4 linked regions of the Ovis aries genome follow. The protein of the gene in region 1 purifies or fractionates together with the protein of each later gene. This does not show direct contact. Links are inferred from orthologs where the notes say so. Each region holds a gene or a part of one and is shown on either strand. Other genes may lie near its edges. The genes, in order: ARHGEF12, GNA13, MYO6 and GIPC1.

Region 1 (4,298 bases):
TTAATTTGCCAATAGCTCTAGAATCAGCAAAATGTACCTAGAGTGCACTGGAGTTAGACCATGAGAAGAGGCTGAGGTAGTTAGGCTGAGAAGAAGATGGGAACTGTTCTATACTAGTAACTTTATTAAGGCAGCCTGGCACAGAAATAACACTAAACCAGTACTTCCAGATTTCACCCCAACATATATTCAAATCAGGGACAACTCTTAAGAGTCAATGGATGCTTGAGATTATGGGGCAAGATATGTTCAAAGAAAAAGTAATAGTCACATAAGAATAAATCTTGTGGTGGCAAAAAAGAAACTAGTAGTAAATTCCTAAGAAATACGAATCCATAATTGTCTCACTAAGGCACATTAAGTGGCTTTTAAAGTCTTTTGTCTTTTAAAAAGTATGTGAAATTAGGCAGTACCTGAACTAATTCAAGTAGATATTAAACCCAAACCAATTTGCAGATTCATCTTAGAATATTCATCTTTTAATCCTTTGTGCCCAGCACAGTGCCTGGCAAAAAAACAGGCAGCATTAACCGCATGTTTATTGTACATTTGTATCTCACCTAAGTTATAAAAAGCAACACAAATACCAAGGTTTTCTTTCCAACATAATGGAAATAGGACATCTCTGAGAAGCAAAGAAGAAGGAAAGATCATTACTTGGGGGCCTTTAGGTGATTTTAATGTGGAATGAGCTGGTGATCCAAGGTTCTGTTTCTACAGAATTAAACACCCTTACTATTGCAATGAAAACTACCAACATATTAGTTTCTAGTAAGACTTGTCTCCAGGGTCAACAGAGAAGGCAAGAATTGAGAGAACCAGGAAAACAATCACCCTTGAAAGTGGCTTCTCAGAGACAAAACACCCTAAAAGAAAAGGAATGGGAATAACCAGAAAAAATCAAAATAAGCATTGTTAATAATGTTAAGTGTACTCTCGGAGAAGTTGAAAATTAAATGCATTTAAAAAAATACACAAACAAAGAATAAATAGTTTAAATATTTAATAGAATCTTTTAGGTGAACATTCACGTGATACTAGGAAGCATCAACAGGAACAGGAAATTCTGTTTCTGGAGTAGCTGTTAGGGTAAGATAATGGAATTTGGCCCTTTTAAAGTCAACAAATGAGTCTTACAATTGGGTGAAACTGTCTTATTAGGGAATTCAACTACTTTTTGCAGAAGCACTTCTCAAAATGCTTTCTTTGCTCCCTAACTTCAGCTATTTGATCTTTTTTTTTTCTTTTTAATGATGTAATGGTTTGAAGGCTGACCAAAAAAAAAATAATAATAACAACTGAAACTTGGGACTTGAATAAGTAAGTAAAGTCACTCAGTCCTGTCCGACTCTTTGTGACCCCGTGGACTGCAGCCCACCAGGCTCCTCAGTCTATGGGATTCTCCAGGCAAGAATACTGGAGTGGGTTGCCATTTCCTTCTCCAGGGGATCTTCCCGACCCAGGGATCGAACCCGGATCTCCCGCATTGGCCGCAGACGCTTTAACCTCTGAGCCATCAGGGAAGCCTGAATACGTTATAATAACACTGAAAAATATGTAGTAAAGAATATGCTTTTATCACTTAAATATTTCAAAGAATAACTCTAAAGAGTAAGGAAACTCACTTAAACCACAAATGGTCTACCTCAATTCACCAAGCAACATAGGTAAGTACTGTAAAAGACTGACCCAACTCAACAAATCCACCTGCCAGCTTCTACTACATAATTCGCTTAGGCCTACACCCCTTAAATGCAAACGTTTCTGGAAAATGAAATCCTAAAAGTGCAATAATTAAAATCAAGCCCCATGATGTTCCCCTGCCTTTTTTTTTTTTTTTTTTAAAGTTCCTTGATATTGTCCCCACCAGGAGACTGGGACTTACTGGTAATTCCAACATTCTGTAAAACTATTAGACAATAAACACTGTGCAAGTCAATGTTTCAAGGATATCAATTTCATAAATCATCAGGCAGTTAGTCTCAGAATGAAGTTCACAAACAGAACAGGGTTTAGGGAACTACAGGACAGGAGTTAAACTTATGAGGGACCAATACCCCAGCCGACCTCCGGCGCTGACCTTCACCCAAAATGACCTTCCTCTGCTTCCAAGAACAGTAATGAATCCTAATGCCCACTACGGACAGAAAAACACAATCGTGGCTTTACCTACCCTTCCTCCGACACTCTGGAAAAGTTTCTCTCCAGAAAAAAAAAAAAAAAAAAAAATTTCCAAATTCAATCAACCGGGTAACTTGGCAGCAACCCCAGACTAACTGCAGAGCTCGGAAACAACCCTCCGTCGGATGCCTGTCAACTTCACTGGGCAAAGGCAATCGGCAATCCTGACTCTCCTGTTAGGTCGGGCCCCATCCAGGGAGGCTAAGCGCAGGGGGGAGCTTCATACCAACCTGTCGGTGATAGTAGACTGTGTGCCACTCATTGGGGCCCTTGGCGAGAGGTCCTCCTTTTATCCAACTTGCATTTTACAGTAACACCTCCACCCCACCCCCAGCGCTCCGGGATCAGGCCCGACTCCGTAGGGGACACCAGAGTCCAACTCAAAACTCCATTCAGTCATCTAGAACGTCCGACTGGCAGAGGTCAAGGAGAGGGGATGCGGGTGGGAGCGAAGCAAGTTATCTCCCCAAACAAACCGAGCAAGTCCGCCAGAAGGCGAGGTCTAAAGCTAGGGAGCGATCCTTGGGAAAGCGCCGGAGAAAACTTCGTCACGGAGGGAAGTCGGCGAGCCGCGCGGGGAACGGACCTCAGGAGTCCGTCCGGGGCAGGATGGGCTCCTCGTCGGGGTCTCGGGGGCCTGCAAATCCCCGCCGCCGAGCCGGGGCCCGCTGGCTTCTGCTTTCTATCTGGGGCTGCCGGCCGCTCGTGGCCGCGGTCTCGGCCGCGTCTCGGGCCGCCCCGCGTCAGCCGCGCGCGGCTCCATGGCCCCGGGCCGGGGGACCCCTCTCGTCGTCCTCGCCGCCCCCCACCAGGCTCCGGATGCCGGGACGAGCACGAGCGCCGGGGGAGGAGGTTCCGCAGCCGGAGGTGACAGGAACCTGGTCTCTCAGCCCCGCGGGCTGCTCCCCATCCCTCGGAGGCCCGGGCTCTTCCGCGGTCGGCGAAGGCGGCGGCGGCGGCGGCGGTGGCTCCTCCCCGACGCGCCGGTAGGCGGCGGTTCCCGCGAGGGGCGGGAGGTTCCCGTCTGACCCGGCCTGGAAGCACTGGCCCGGGAGGCCGGCGGCGACCCCGGCGACTCGGAACGCAGGGCCGGCTAGCCGGGTCCTGGGGCTCTCGCGGGAGCGCGCGCGGCGGGCGGAGGAGGCCGCCGGCGGTGGAGGGGGCCGCGAGACAACCGCAGGCGCGCGCGCGGGTTCCGGTTCCGGTTCTGCCTTCCCGGCCCCTGCCGCATCCAGCGCGAGCGCTCGCCCTTCCCCTCCCCCGCCGACTTTTTTTGGCCTCCTCCCCTCTGACTTCGGGAAGCCGCCTCACCCGGGATCCCTCCGCGGCGCGCGGGGCGGCCCCAGCCCCCAGCTCTCGCCACCCCGCGCGCCGCCTCCGCTCACCGGCCGCGGGTGCGCGCCGCCCCCGCGCGGACGCCTCCGCCGGAATCTTGTGGGGGGAGAGCGAAAAAGTAGTTCTGTGGGGGCAGAAGGAGGTGGGCACCGTGCGACCCTGAGAGTCCCACGCGCCAACCTAAGGTTGTCCCAGGGAGCCCACGAATGCCGGAGGTTGCTACTTTGGGGTCTAGCTTGCCCTAACTCGGCTTTCCCCCAGAGAGCACGCCCCCAGTCCCGAGGAGTTGAGGATGAGAGAGGAGGCTCTTTGGAAATTACTCACCCCCTTGTCCTAGAAACTTGTATTCCTTAAGGGAGCATACTTGTTCTTTTCTGATAACACGCACAGACTGTTTTTGGCGAATGGAAGCAAACTCAGGTCCGGCTGCCCGGACCCCGCTGCTCTCTGGTGAATCAGACCCCAGCAGAGAGAGGTTTTGGCCTTGGCCGCTCACCTGGGGCACCTGCTGGCCTCGGCCCAGGGCAGGGGCTGCCGCGCAAAAAAGTCTTGGCTGCCGGCGGAGGGTTGGAGGATGGAAGTGTATAGGAATGGGGAGACAGTTTGGGAACTGGAGCCAGGATTTCTTCGTATAAGGTTGCTTTTAGGCTGCTTCTGCCTTGGCAAAATAAAATGTGTTATTTGCCAAATTGAGCAAGCATGGTGCTTTCCACAGCGGCTTAACAAGCTTGCTGTGGAAAGAAATGGGAGCGGGGAGGGGGGGGGGCAGTTTATTTATCCTG
Region 2 (3,561 bases), on another chromosome or scaffold:
TTTCCATGCAGCCTTCCTTGAGCACACTGCTCATGGCCCCTCCTCTGCTTTAAGGCTCCACTGCTTGCGTTACAGTTGTTGATTCACGTGAGGTTGGCTGGTCTTTCCCCCTCTGTCCTTGAAGGCAGGGACCCTGTGTCTTGGTTCTGAAGAGCTGAGTTCTTGCTGCTTAGCGACAGGGCCTGGCGCCTCGTCGACACTCAGCAAATGCCCTGCAGCCTGCCAGACTCCGCTGCCCTCCACTGTCTCCCAAGTTCGCTCAGAGTCATGTGCAGACCAGTTAATGGCACACTCCACTTTCTCATTATTCCTGAATCGCTGAGCAGGAAACACTTTCCTTTTTTCCAGGAGTACATTCCCTCCCAGCAAGACATCCTGCTCGCCAGAAGGCCCACCAAAGGCATCCATGAGTACGACTTTGAAATCAAGAACGTGCCTTTCAAAATGGTCGACGTGGGCGGCCAGCGGTCAGAGCGGAAGCGCTGGTTCGAGTGCTTCGACAGCGTGACGTCCATACTGTTCCTTGTCTCCTCCAGCGAGTTTGACCAGGTGCTCATGGAGGACCGCCTGACCAACCGCCTGACCGAGTCGCTGAACATTTTTGAAACCATCGTCAATAACCGGGTTTTCAGCAATGTCTCCATAATTCTCTTCTTGAACAAGACAGATTTGCTTGAGGAGAAAGTGCAAATTGTGAGCATCAAAGACTATTTCCTAGAGTTTGAAGGGGACCCCCACTGCTTAAGAGACGTCCAGAAATTCCTGGTGGAGTGCTTCCGCAGCAAGCGCCGGGACCAGCAGCAGAAGCCCCTGTACCACCACTTCACCACCGCCATCAACACCGAGAACATCCGCCTGGTGTTCCGCGACGTCAAGGACACCATCCTGCATGACAACCTCAAGCAGCTGATGCTCCAGTGACGCCCCAAGGGCCCGCCGCCTTCCCGCCTTCCTGTTTTCTGTTCGTTTTATTTTTAAAATAGAAGTTTACAGCAGGAATTAGAACAGTCTTGATTCTGGGTTTAACTCCTTGGAAATCTCAGTCCTCCTCCGGCGACTCTGGCCCCTGGCGGAGGGCTGCCCTCGGCCGACGCCCGTGGGTGCAGCTCCGGCCTCCGTGGACGGGCCCTCCTCCCGCCAGGCCTCAGACACGCTGTCCTTCCGGCTTTGACCCTTCCCCTTCTCAAACAGTGCTCCTGTGGCGCCAAGCATGGCAGGCGCCCTTAGCGCCGCAGGGCGAGCCCGAGGCCGAGCGCGCGCAGGCCCTGGACCGCGCGGGGCGCCGCGGTCGCCGCATGTGGCAGCTGCGCCTGTGCCCAGCCTCGGTGGGCTGGTGGGGAAGGAGGGCCGCTGGGGAAGTTTGCTCTGAGCAGCGGCGGTCCGTAGACCTCCCCGGCTTCGGCCTTCACGTTCTTCTGATTGCTCGTGTCCCCAGCAGTTCTGAGTTTTCTGTGGCTCCTGAAGGCAGTGCTCGGCGTGTGTCTCAGTTCACATAAGGGTGTCTCCTCTGGCGCGGGTGGAAGCTCCCGTGTGGTTCAGGGTGCACAGGCGCGTGCCGTTCCCAGTGTTTTGATCAGAAGCCAAAAGAGTGGAGGGCAGGCTGCCTTTCCCATACTGAGACCTGTCCTCCAGGTGCCATGCAGGAAACACTGGCCGTCACAGCAGCTAGGAAGCGCAGCCTGGCAGCAGAGCTTTCTGAGTAAACCCAGCCCTTCCCGAGGAGAGTTCGTGTTACTCTCAGACTTTGAGCCCCCGGCTCAGACACGGCAGGTCCCACAGTGGGAATCCCTGTCGCACCATCATGGACGTGGTTCGTTCACGCTCCTTCTGTTCCCGTCAGCTCCAGAGGGCAGCATTTATGAGGGGTTTTGGGTTTTTTGGAGCTTGCCAAGGGCAATGTTTTCCTGTCAGACTATCCAGGAAGCCGTTGCTTGAGGTTCTCGTTCCTTCTCGGTGTGTCTCTTCGGAGGCTGTATGTGTTGGCAGCACTGTTGTTCGTGGAATTCCAGCTCTCCTGAGGTGCGTTTGGAAGGTTCAAGGATTCTCTCAAGAATGAGGAGTCGTGTTCAGTTCCTGCTGAAAGATGGTTACGTGTGACCTCCCCCACCACGCCCCCAATTAGAACGCACCCCAGGGAGCTCTGCTGTTAACAGACGCACCCTCTGAGCGCCTCAGAGTGGCTGGGTTTCGGCATTAAGAGGCCCGCCCTGTGGGTTATGTGTGGTGTTGCAGTCGGGTAGAGGAACAGGTGTACAAGGTGAGTTTGGAGAGTCTGGTGGTTTTTCTCCCTTTCCTGAAAACTGTGATTGACTGTGACACCTGCCCCTTCACTGCACAGCTGACTGTGTTCTCAGGTGTTTATAGGCGAGCAGTCCTTGAAAGGCTGGTCAGAGTTCTGGATCCCCCAGCCCTCCCCGGTCGGGCTCTGGGTCTGTGTCGCGGGTGGGTTAGGCTAGGACTCTGCTGGGACCTGACCAGCGCTTGTCGGGCGCCTGACTTTGCTCGCATTTGAAGCTCCTCCATCGCTGCCCCCATAGCTGCCTGTGTGTCCGTGTCCTGGTGATGCTGTGCTGCTGACGTGAGCCCCGCCCTGTGACACAGGCGTCCATGGAGCAGGGCTCGCGCATGTCTGAGCTCTGTGTCCAGTGCTGCTCACTAAACACAAGTGTGTTGTTTAACCTGCAGAGTGAACCATTTCAGGGCACAGCACGTGTGTGTTACACGGAGACTTGGGTGGAGGTCTGTGCGTCAGTTTATCAGGAGGTGGTGTTTCACTCCAGTGAGGGCTAAAGTCAGTTCCGGGTGTGTGCAGTGAGGAGGGATGGTCTCAATCAGGTCCTTGTTCAGATCTCTGATACAAGCCGCACACACTGCCCAGCAAAGCAGAAGTCCCCATTTTGACCACCACAGTCAGATGTTAGAGCACCAAAGAAATGGCATACTATTCTAAGCATTTGAGATTCCTTTCCTGATGGGTGTGGAGTCTCAGAGTCAACTTTCTTTTAAAGTAAAACCTTGAGTATATTCTGAGGCAGTAAATTACTCATACAGGCTTGCTGGTTCAGTCTGAAGGCTTTAGTCACATGTTTTGTGTACTGTATATTTAAACCATGTGAAAGAGTCCTGTACCTGTATCATGAAAACCAGATCTGTTTAAAATACACTGTGTGAAGGGGAGACGGAGATTCGGGGCCAAGCTGCCAGGGTGCCTGCTCCCCCACCCCAGTCTCTAAAAATGTAATTTGAATTTAAAATTCTCCACTGTATTTAACTTTCTAAGTCTTCATGGTTACACTTTGGAGTAAACTGTGCCTAATTCTCCATTACATTCTGTTCTTAGGTCTGAACGTCTTGTTTAATTCTTAAGAAATGTCACACAAGTGTCTTCATTGACCTTGAAGAACCTTACAGTATACAGAGTTGCCTTATAAAGCAAAGAACACCTCAAATTTTGCCTTTTTTTTTTCTTAAATAGGGAAGAGTTTTTGTCAGATATTTTTTCTGAAGATCCAAATAATTTAAAGGCATGCCTCTGCCACTTAAATATTATTTTTAACAACC
Region 3 (3,561 bases), on another chromosome or scaffold:
TGGGTCTCCTCCTCCCGCTGCCGGGCCAGCTGCGCCTCCACCTCTGCCTGCCGGCACAGAAGGCCTTGACGCCGGGCCCCTCTCTCTCTGCTCATCCCCTCACTGTGCACACTTGCTCCATACACGTTTTTTCTTTTTTTTTTTAAACTAAGAAATACATACTCTTTACCCAGAAATCTACCATCTTCTCCCCTTCTATATTATGATTAATGTTTCCTCAAGCCCCAAAGTAAGAATCCGCCATTCTATCACTAGAATATGAGTCTCCCAAACATCACATCAGTAGCCTTGGTGTGACCTGAATACCAACACCTACACTGCAGATTTCAGGAACTTAAAGTATTGGTTGTGTTCAGGATAAATCAGAAAGCCAAGACAGACACTCAAAATAGGATTAATTATTCTCAGACATGGATTTTTTTTTTAAAGATGGTGGCAATAGTGAGAGTATCTTAATCCTAACCTATTAATATTAGCATCTACAAAGTTATAAAATAACATTTAAAAATATTAGATAATTATGTTGTGACTGAATGCTGATCTGACTGTCCCCCTCTAAATGATGACAAACTAATACCTACTAAACAAGGCACTGTTCTAAATGCTTTAATAGGTATTATCTCATTTAATGCTCACAATTATTATTTATCTCCATTCCAGAAAGAAAACTGTGGCCCACAGTCACTCACTGTAACTCCTGCAATATCACGATTTCTGTCAGTGAGAGGCTGGATTTGAACTCACTTCCCTAGCTCCAAAGTCCCTTCCTATAACCACTTCTGAAACTGCCTTTGCTCTCTAGGATAAATCAGTGACAATTTATCTAGTAAATGAAGATCTTCTTTTGTTTTATAGTTTTGCAGATTCTATTTAGTAAGAATTCAGTCTGACTGCCTAGAAAGTACAGACCTGAATACGTTTTTCATCATCTTCTCTTTTCTTTCTTTCTTCTTCTTCTTGTTTTCTCTTTGCTTCCATCTCAAGTTTCCTAAAAAAAAAAAAAAAAAAAAAATTAGAAAACTCTTCAAAAATTAACAGAAAATAAGAAACTCTTCAGAAGAAAGTTTATTAATAAATAAATGTTACAAAATGGGAAGTCAAATTAACCTATTACATTATTAACTTATTTTCTGAAAAATAAAATCTAACTTTGATAGCAGCTCTTTAGAAACAAAAGAAATAATTATATTCCATAACCTTTAACATCTCTGGATTAACTTGGTTACCAAGCGTACTTGTAAGGTCTTAATCACACTGCCTCTCCAATTAGACAACTCATATTCCTTCTGTCTGCCCTACTATGGCAAGCTTCCAAAATTTTATCAGTTTTAAAACTGCAGAAAAGTACTTTCTTCCTAGATCATAAAATAATATGAAAGTCAGTTTCAAAAAGAAGTTAAGAAATCCTCAGGTGTGAGTTTAACCAAAATTCAGATTATAATTAAAATCATTTTATGTTACTGTAAAGTGAGCTTACTTTCTCCATTTTCAAACTTCTTCTAAAATTAGTATTTAAATATAAGAATATCACTTTTACAGATAAGAATATTCATTAACCACCGTCAACACTTCAGAGTTCACTATGGCGTCAGTTTCTAATCCAAGGCAACAACATAAATGCCTTACATCCGCCTTTCCTCCTCCTCCTTCCTTCGACGTTGCTCATCTTCTTCACGTCTTTTTCTTTCTTTTTCCATTTCTTCTTGAATGCGCCTCAGCCTTTCTGCTTCTTCCTCCTGCTGCTTTTTCTTCTGCAGCGCGCTGAGAAGGACCTCTGAGCTTTGAACTAGAGCATCATACTCTTTCTGTATTTGTTCCCTTGTCATCACCGTGGACTGAAAGAAAGAACACAATGGACGTGCACTTAAAAAGTCATCTCTTCTGCTGTACAACAGTTAGAACACACTGAACACCACTGAACTGTACATTTAAAACCTGGTTAAAGTGGTAAGTTTAATGGTATGCGTTTCACACAATTAAGGAAACAAACCACCATGCACAGACACAGCAAAACTGAAAAAGCTGGTAAGCAGGAGGCCCACTATCTTTTTATTGCTTAAATATTAAAGAATACTTAAATTTTAAGTTATCTCTATGAACAAAATTTGAGTCTACTTCCTATCAAGTAATCAAGTATCTTAAGAGTATACTGTGCACAAACTAATATACTGTAGTTAAAGTTTATTTTTTAAGAAATGATTAATTTTGCCAGAATTTACTACTCTTTAATATTAAGGATCAAATAATACATTGGGGATATTTAAGAAATTATCATTATACCCAAAATTGTTGGATGATTTTCTTAAATGTGGCTGGGTTGATTTTAATTGATTAATACCACATAAACAGGGGTGGTTCTGGACAGATCTGTAAAATCAGCTAAGGCTATCCAAAGCATTTTCAGTTTTCTCTTGACTTCTTTCTCCATTCTTACTCCAAGATTTATCATTATCTGTAGAAAATATCTAAAAGTCTCACTTTAAGATATTATATTTCACATAACTGCAATGAATTATGAAAGTCAATGAGAAAAACATTGAGGCCCTAAAATATTACAGAAAATGATACGAATAGATGAACAAAATCAACAAACAAGCACAAAGAAAAAATTTTCAATCCCACTAGTAATCAAACAAAAATCAAAACCAAAGATGCCCTCTCGCTTTTTTTCTTACAAAATATGGGAGAAAATTAATTGTTATTTCGTGAAAGTTAAGTAATTTATGATATAGCCTACATGAAAATAATTTAATAATAGGGACGAGGCAATAACATAATGATAGGAATGTGAAATATAATGTACCTTATAAGAACGGTGCAAAAATATGTGCATATAAAATAAGACTGAGAGGAACATGCAACAGTATATAGGTGAATGTGTTAGTGTGAGGGGTAAAGAAGTGGGGCAGATTTTCTCCAAATTTTTGAGACTATTACTTTTAAAATTTAAAAATTAGTTTCTGAAAGTAGAAAAGCATGAAACAAAATAAAACAATTTGCATTAATTTTCTCTCAGTAATGATTTTGCAAAAGCTTACCAAAAGTATAATATTTTAGTTAATATTTTGGAAAAGTCTTTCCTAGCAACAAATGAATTGCACAAAAATTGTCTTCATTTTAATTTTTTTGCTATGAAAAATTTCAAACACAGAGTAGAGAAAATAAGATGACTATCACTTATCACTGAGACTCAACACATCTAACAGTCTGTATTTTTTTTAAAAAAGGACATTTTTCTATAAAATTTCAATATAGTAACAAAAAATATTAAACTGTTTTTAAAAGTCAAAAGTGATTTGGGTTAAAACTACATACCTTAATTTTGGCCATTAAAGCATCAATAGAAATTTCAAGGTCCTTGACCTGTTTATTCATCTCTGGTTTTCCATCTTTCAATGCATTTACTACTTCATTAAATTTATGGAGCCGTTTTTTCAGTGTGCCCACCTTAACCAGGCCATCAATGCTGCAAAGATAATACTTTATCACTTTAATTCTACCATTTAATCATACAAATAGATTTTTCATTTTAATTAAATGCTAAAAATATGACTAAACAGA
Region 4 (4,360 bases), on another chromosome or scaffold:
ATCATCTTTAGTCAGCTGCCAAGATTCACACTCCCTCCTTTTTCTAGGGCCCCTACATCCTGCTCACCAACTCCCAACTTCCTTAGTCTGCCTACACTTGATGCCCTGGTTCAGGCTGGCTGCATGTCTTACCCAGGACAGGGAAATAATGGTGGTAAGGAAAGTGGGTGGTTTATGAATTTGTTTTCCAGGCCAGAAGAGGCAGAGTGGCCTGGGTTCAAATCCCACCCCTGTCACTTACCAGCTGAGTGGCTGTGGGCAAGTCACTTCACTTGATGGCGCTTTAGTTTCCTCATCTGAAAAATGGGCAGAATTACTGTCTCTCAGAGTGCTTATGGGAATCCAAAGAGTTTATGCAAGTAACTCAATTAGCACTTTGCCTGACATTTGATTTAAGAAAATTATTACTCTCACTGTTATTACTGCCTCTTCCCTTGCCCTGCCCAGGGAGTCCCCTCTGCCTGTCAAGGCCTACTCCTGGCCACCTCCTCCAAGCAGCCTCCTCGGCTTGTCCCTGCCTGTTACAACCACCCCTGTGGTCTAGACAACTCAGGCCCACGGACTTAATTACATGCTGTTCTGGCAGAACCCTTGTCTTCCAGTCTTAGGCTGTTATTTCACTTCATGTCTCTATTTTAAAACATAAACCAGATCGTGTTGCTCCCCAGCCTCAAATCTTACATCAGTTTCCCACGTGATAGAAGAAAAGCTCTAAACTCCTTAATGTGACCCACAGATCCCCACAGAATCACACTGTGGGTTCTCTCCTGCCCCAGCCATACCATGCCAAGCTTGGCCCAGCCTCAGAGCCTTTGCCTTGGCTGTGCCCCCTACCTGATCCTTACAAAGCTGGCTTCTTTTTGTCATTCAGATCTTGGCTCCAAAGTTACCTCCTCCGAGATCCCCCTTTCTTACAGATTCTACCATGCCACTCCCTCATATTTTATTTATAGCATTTATCAACCTCTTGCAAGTGTTTTCTTTATTTACTTGTTATTAACAACTTGTTTGTTGCCTGTTCCCCCCCCCCCCCCATTAGAATGGTAGCTGCCCAAGAGCAGGGATTTCTGTTGTGGTCACTACTGTATCCTCTATGCCAGGAACAGTACCTGGCCTGTGGTGGTGGTGGTGGTTTAGTTGCTAAGTTGTGTCCAACTCTTGCGATGGCCACCAGGCTCCTCTGTCCATGGGATTTCCAGGCAAGAATACTGGAGTGGGTTGCCATTTCCTCCTCCAGGGGATCTTCTCGACCCAGGGATCAAACCTGTGTCTCCTGCACTGGTGGGAGGATGCTTTACCACTGAGCCACCAGGGAAGCCCACCTGGCACATAGCAGGTACTTAATTAATATGTACAGAACGAATGAATAATGTGTCTTACGCCCTCATTCTGACTACTCTCTGAGCCCCTCTAGCCTCAGAACATGCCTACTGTACCGTTTCAAACTGCCACCTCCCCACCACACTCCCAGTCTCCTCTTAAACTTGAACACAGGTATGGAGAAAATGAGCTTCAATTCAGCTAGTGGCACTGAGCAGGTTGGCTGGAATCCCACATCCCTACCCTCTCTTCACTGGGAGGGCCCGGAACTTAACAAGCCTACAGCCACACAGCGTTGCAATGGGAGGAGCAGGAAATGGGAAGGGGGTTCCTGAGAGCTCACACAAGCTGGGAAGGGGACACCACGCCCATGCTCCCCTTTTTGGCAGTGCATTGCTTGGAAGAGGAGGGCAGGAGGCCTCTGAATCAGTCTTGAAAAACCGGCTCATGGGTGTTTCCAGGGAGAATGCCTACTGTCCGCGGCCCAGGCCTCCCTAGGGGCCCAGCAGCCACAGGACCCCAATGGTCCCCACCACCCACCTATTTCTCCCACAGATGTCTCTCTCTTCTTAGGACCCAGTAGTCTGGCCTTGCTTTTCCAGCTTTGGGGAAAAGGGACATGGGGGCAGCTTCCTGTCTGAGCAGCTGGTGAAAACGAAGACCAGCAGGTGTGCCCCAGATGGCTGCCTGGTTGGAGGGAATGGAGTGGGAGGAGCTGGTCAGAAACACCTGAGCCCTGAAGCCACTGGATACCTAGTCTAGTGGCGGAGATTCCAGTTCTGGACTCTGAAGCATGGGTTTGAGTCCCAGATCTGCCACTTACTCGCTGTGTGACCTTAGGCAAGACACTCCACCTCTCTGGGTCTGCTGCTTCACCTCTGAAAGAAGTAACAGCAACTTCCATGAGGGGTGATTCAATGATCCGCATGGTAAATACCTGACACGGAAGTGTTCAATGAATGCTAGCCCGGGTGATTGTTTTCATTATTACAATCGGGACCTCGATCCTCCCAAGGCGCACCCCACCCCCTCGCCAGGCCCTGGACGAGTGGGACAAGGCCAGCTTCGGGGACAAGGCCAGCTTCGGGGACTTGTCAGAAATACCGACTCTGCGCCTGTCCCCACCGGGAGGGGAACTCTCCAGAGGTGCAGGGGGCTGGGGTGCGGCTGGAGACGACATCCCGGCGCCGGGAGGCGTTCACCCCTGACCTTAGAGGGAAGGCAGGCGGTCCTCCGGGAAGGGGACTCGGACGTTTCCCCCCACCCCGTCCCGCCCCTCCACCCCACTCAGCCTAGACCTCCAGCCGCGTCCATGGGGCCGGCCCCACCCCGCAGGATAGGCCGAATCTCCGCGGGTTCGCGATCTCGCGGGTCTGCTCCGGGGTCCCCTCGAGCGGCCGCGATGGACCACCCCCTCGCCCCTGCCTTGCCGGGTATACTCACCTGAGCCTCCTTAGCCGCCGCCCAGCTCGCCCAGCTCGGCCCTCCGCAAACTCTGGCCCGGGCCTCTCCCGCAGCCACCGCCAGGGGGCGGGGCTGGCGCCCGCATCTGGCCAATCAGAAACGGCCGCCCGGCGCTCGCGGCCAATCCACTCCACGCCGCCCCCCTGCGGGTGGAACCCGAAGGAAACATTCCAGAGGGATCCCTGCGCTGCACGCGATTCTTCACGACACCTCCCCCGCCGCGGAGCGTTGGACCTTCCCACCCCTCCTAAGCCGCGGCGGCCTGTTCCACCGCGAGGCGGCGGAAGGGGGAGCTGAGGCCGAGCCCGAGCCAATCTCTGGGAGGAAGGAGGCCAGCGGCCAATGGGAAGCTGGGGCCCCCGGACCACGTGTTCTTGGCTAAGTGTCCGTGTGGGGTGCTGTGGGTGCTAAGAGGCGGGGGACTAGTCGTGGAAGTCAGGTGACCGATACTGAGTTTGGGGGTGGGGAGGGGGAAAGGATACAAACTTCCAAAGTCCAGAAAAGGGAACCCTTTAGGATACCCGGAGGGGGCCAAGGGCGGTCCCTAATCCAGTCCTCCACTTGGCCTGCCCATGTCTCAGCTCGGCCACCCTCAGAGCGGATAAAAAGATGTATTCATTCTGGGCGGGAGGGCGGGGGACTGAGATGAATAGGGAGGGTCCCGCGTGTCCAGCGTCCTGGATGGACAATGGACAAGGGCATTCATTCATTCATTTACTCATCAAATATTTAAGGCGCTCCTGCTCCGTGCCAGGCTCTGTCCTATCTCAACAGATACGTCTACGAGTAAGCTGAATGAATATGCTCTTGGTAAAGGGAACGGGGCATGCAAAGGCTTGGAGGGCGGACAGAGAGATACAGCACACTTTAGGAGAGTGCAATAGCGAAGGAGTTTGCAAAGCAGCTAGCAAAGCATCTTTAGGTTGCAGTGGTACGAAAGACAAGGGCAAAACGGTCTGTTCGCTTGCTGGTTGACCAGTGGATATTTATTGAGCACATATTATGTGCTAGATTACAAAGGATACCCAGCCAACCCAAGTCTCAGCCCTGAGGGAGCTGACATTCACGAGTCTGTCTCCATCTCTGTTCCCTCTCTGTCCCCCACCCTCCAGTCCTGAGAATGGCACAGAGCAGGGTTTCAGTATACATATGTGGATGAAAGAACTAGGTAATCTCACCATCTCCAGGTCTGGCTTGTAACTGAGATTTCTTAGGCAGAAGCAGGTACAAGAAACAAAGACACAAATGCACCCTTCCCAGGCCAGGACAAACCTAGACAGCATATTTAAAAAAAGTGAAGACATCACTTTGCCAACAGAAGTCTGTATAGTCAAAGCTGTGGTTTTTCCAGTTGTCATGTAGAGATGTCAAAGTTGGGCCATAAAGAAGGCTGAGCACCGAATAAGTGATGTTTTCAAACTGTGGTGCTGGAGAAGACTCTTGAGAGTCCATTGAACAGCAAGGAGATCGAACCAGTCAATTCTAAAGGAAATCAACCCTGGATACTCATTGCAAGGACTGATACTGAAGCCCCAGCTTTGGCCACCTGATGCGAACAGCCGATTCACTGGAAAAA

What was found.
Region 2: the proteins of ARHGEF12 (region 1) and GNA13 purify together in Homo sapiens (affinity purification with western blotting; 3 studies listed by BioGRID). This does not show direct contact. The link is inferred for Ovis aries from reciprocal best matches to the Homo sapiens genes ARHGEF12 and GNA13.
Region 3: the proteins of ARHGEF12 (region 1) and MYO6 purify together in Homo sapiens (affinity purification with mass spectrometry; 4 studies listed by BioGRID and IntAct, counting the BioPlex papers as one, with this or other methods). This does not show direct contact. The link is inferred for Ovis aries from reciprocal best matches to the Homo sapiens genes ARHGEF12 and MYO6.
Region 4: the proteins of ARHGEF12 (region 1) and GIPC1 purify together in Homo sapiens (co-immunoprecipitation; 4 studies listed by BioGRID and IntAct, with this or other methods). This does not show direct contact. The link is inferred for Ovis aries from reciprocal best matches to the Homo sapiens genes ARHGEF12 and GIPC1.

The regions. Positions count from the first base shown.
Region 1 is NC_056068.1:30,638,042-30,642,339, reverse strand, and holds the start of ARHGEF12 (rho guanine nucleotide exchange factor 12), read right to left. Parts: upstream 2,843-4,298; 5' UTR 2,444-2,842; coding exon 2,412-2,443; exon of another isoform or gene 2,174-2,411; intron 1-2,173. UniProt on the Homo sapiens protein: May play a role in the regulation of RhoA GTPase by guanine nucleotide-binding alpha-12 (GNA12) and alpha-13 (GNA13). Acts as guanine nucleotide exchange factor (GEF) for RhoA GTPase and may act as GTPase-activating protein (GAP) for GNA12 and GNA13.
Region 2 is NC_056064.1:61,101,878-61,105,438, reverse strand, and holds part of GNA13 (guanine nucleotide-binding protein subunit alpha-13), read left to right. Parts: intron 1-348; coding exon 349-921; 3' UTR 922-3,561. UniProt on the Homo sapiens protein: Guanine nucleotide-binding proteins (G proteins) are involved as modulators or transducers in various transmembrane signaling systems.
Region 3 is NC_056061.1:2,724,006-2,727,566, reverse strand, and holds part of MYO6 (unconventional myosin-VI), read right to left. Parts: intron 3,467-3,561; coding exon 3,316-3,466; intron 1,836-3,315; coding exon 1,627-1,835; intron 989-1,626; coding exon 910-988; intron 48-909; coding exon 1-47. UniProt on the Homo sapiens protein: Myosins are actin-based motor molecules with ATPase activity. Unconventional myosins serve in intracellular movements. Myosin 6 is a reverse-direction motor protein that moves towards the minus-end of actin filaments.
Region 4 is NC_056058.1:9,603,952-9,608,311, reverse strand, and holds the start of GIPC1 (PDZ domain-containing protein GIPC1), read right to left. Parts: upstream 2,834-4,360; 5' UTR 2,764-2,833; intron 2,258-2,763; 5' UTR 2,249-2,257; coding exon 2,144-2,248; exon of another isoform or gene 2,074-2,143; intron 2,008-2,073; exon of another isoform or gene 1,861-2,007; intron 1,323-1,860; exon of another isoform or gene 1,110-1,322; intron 297-1,109; exon of another isoform or gene 242-296; intron 1-241. UniProt on the Homo sapiens protein: May be involved in G protein-linked signaling.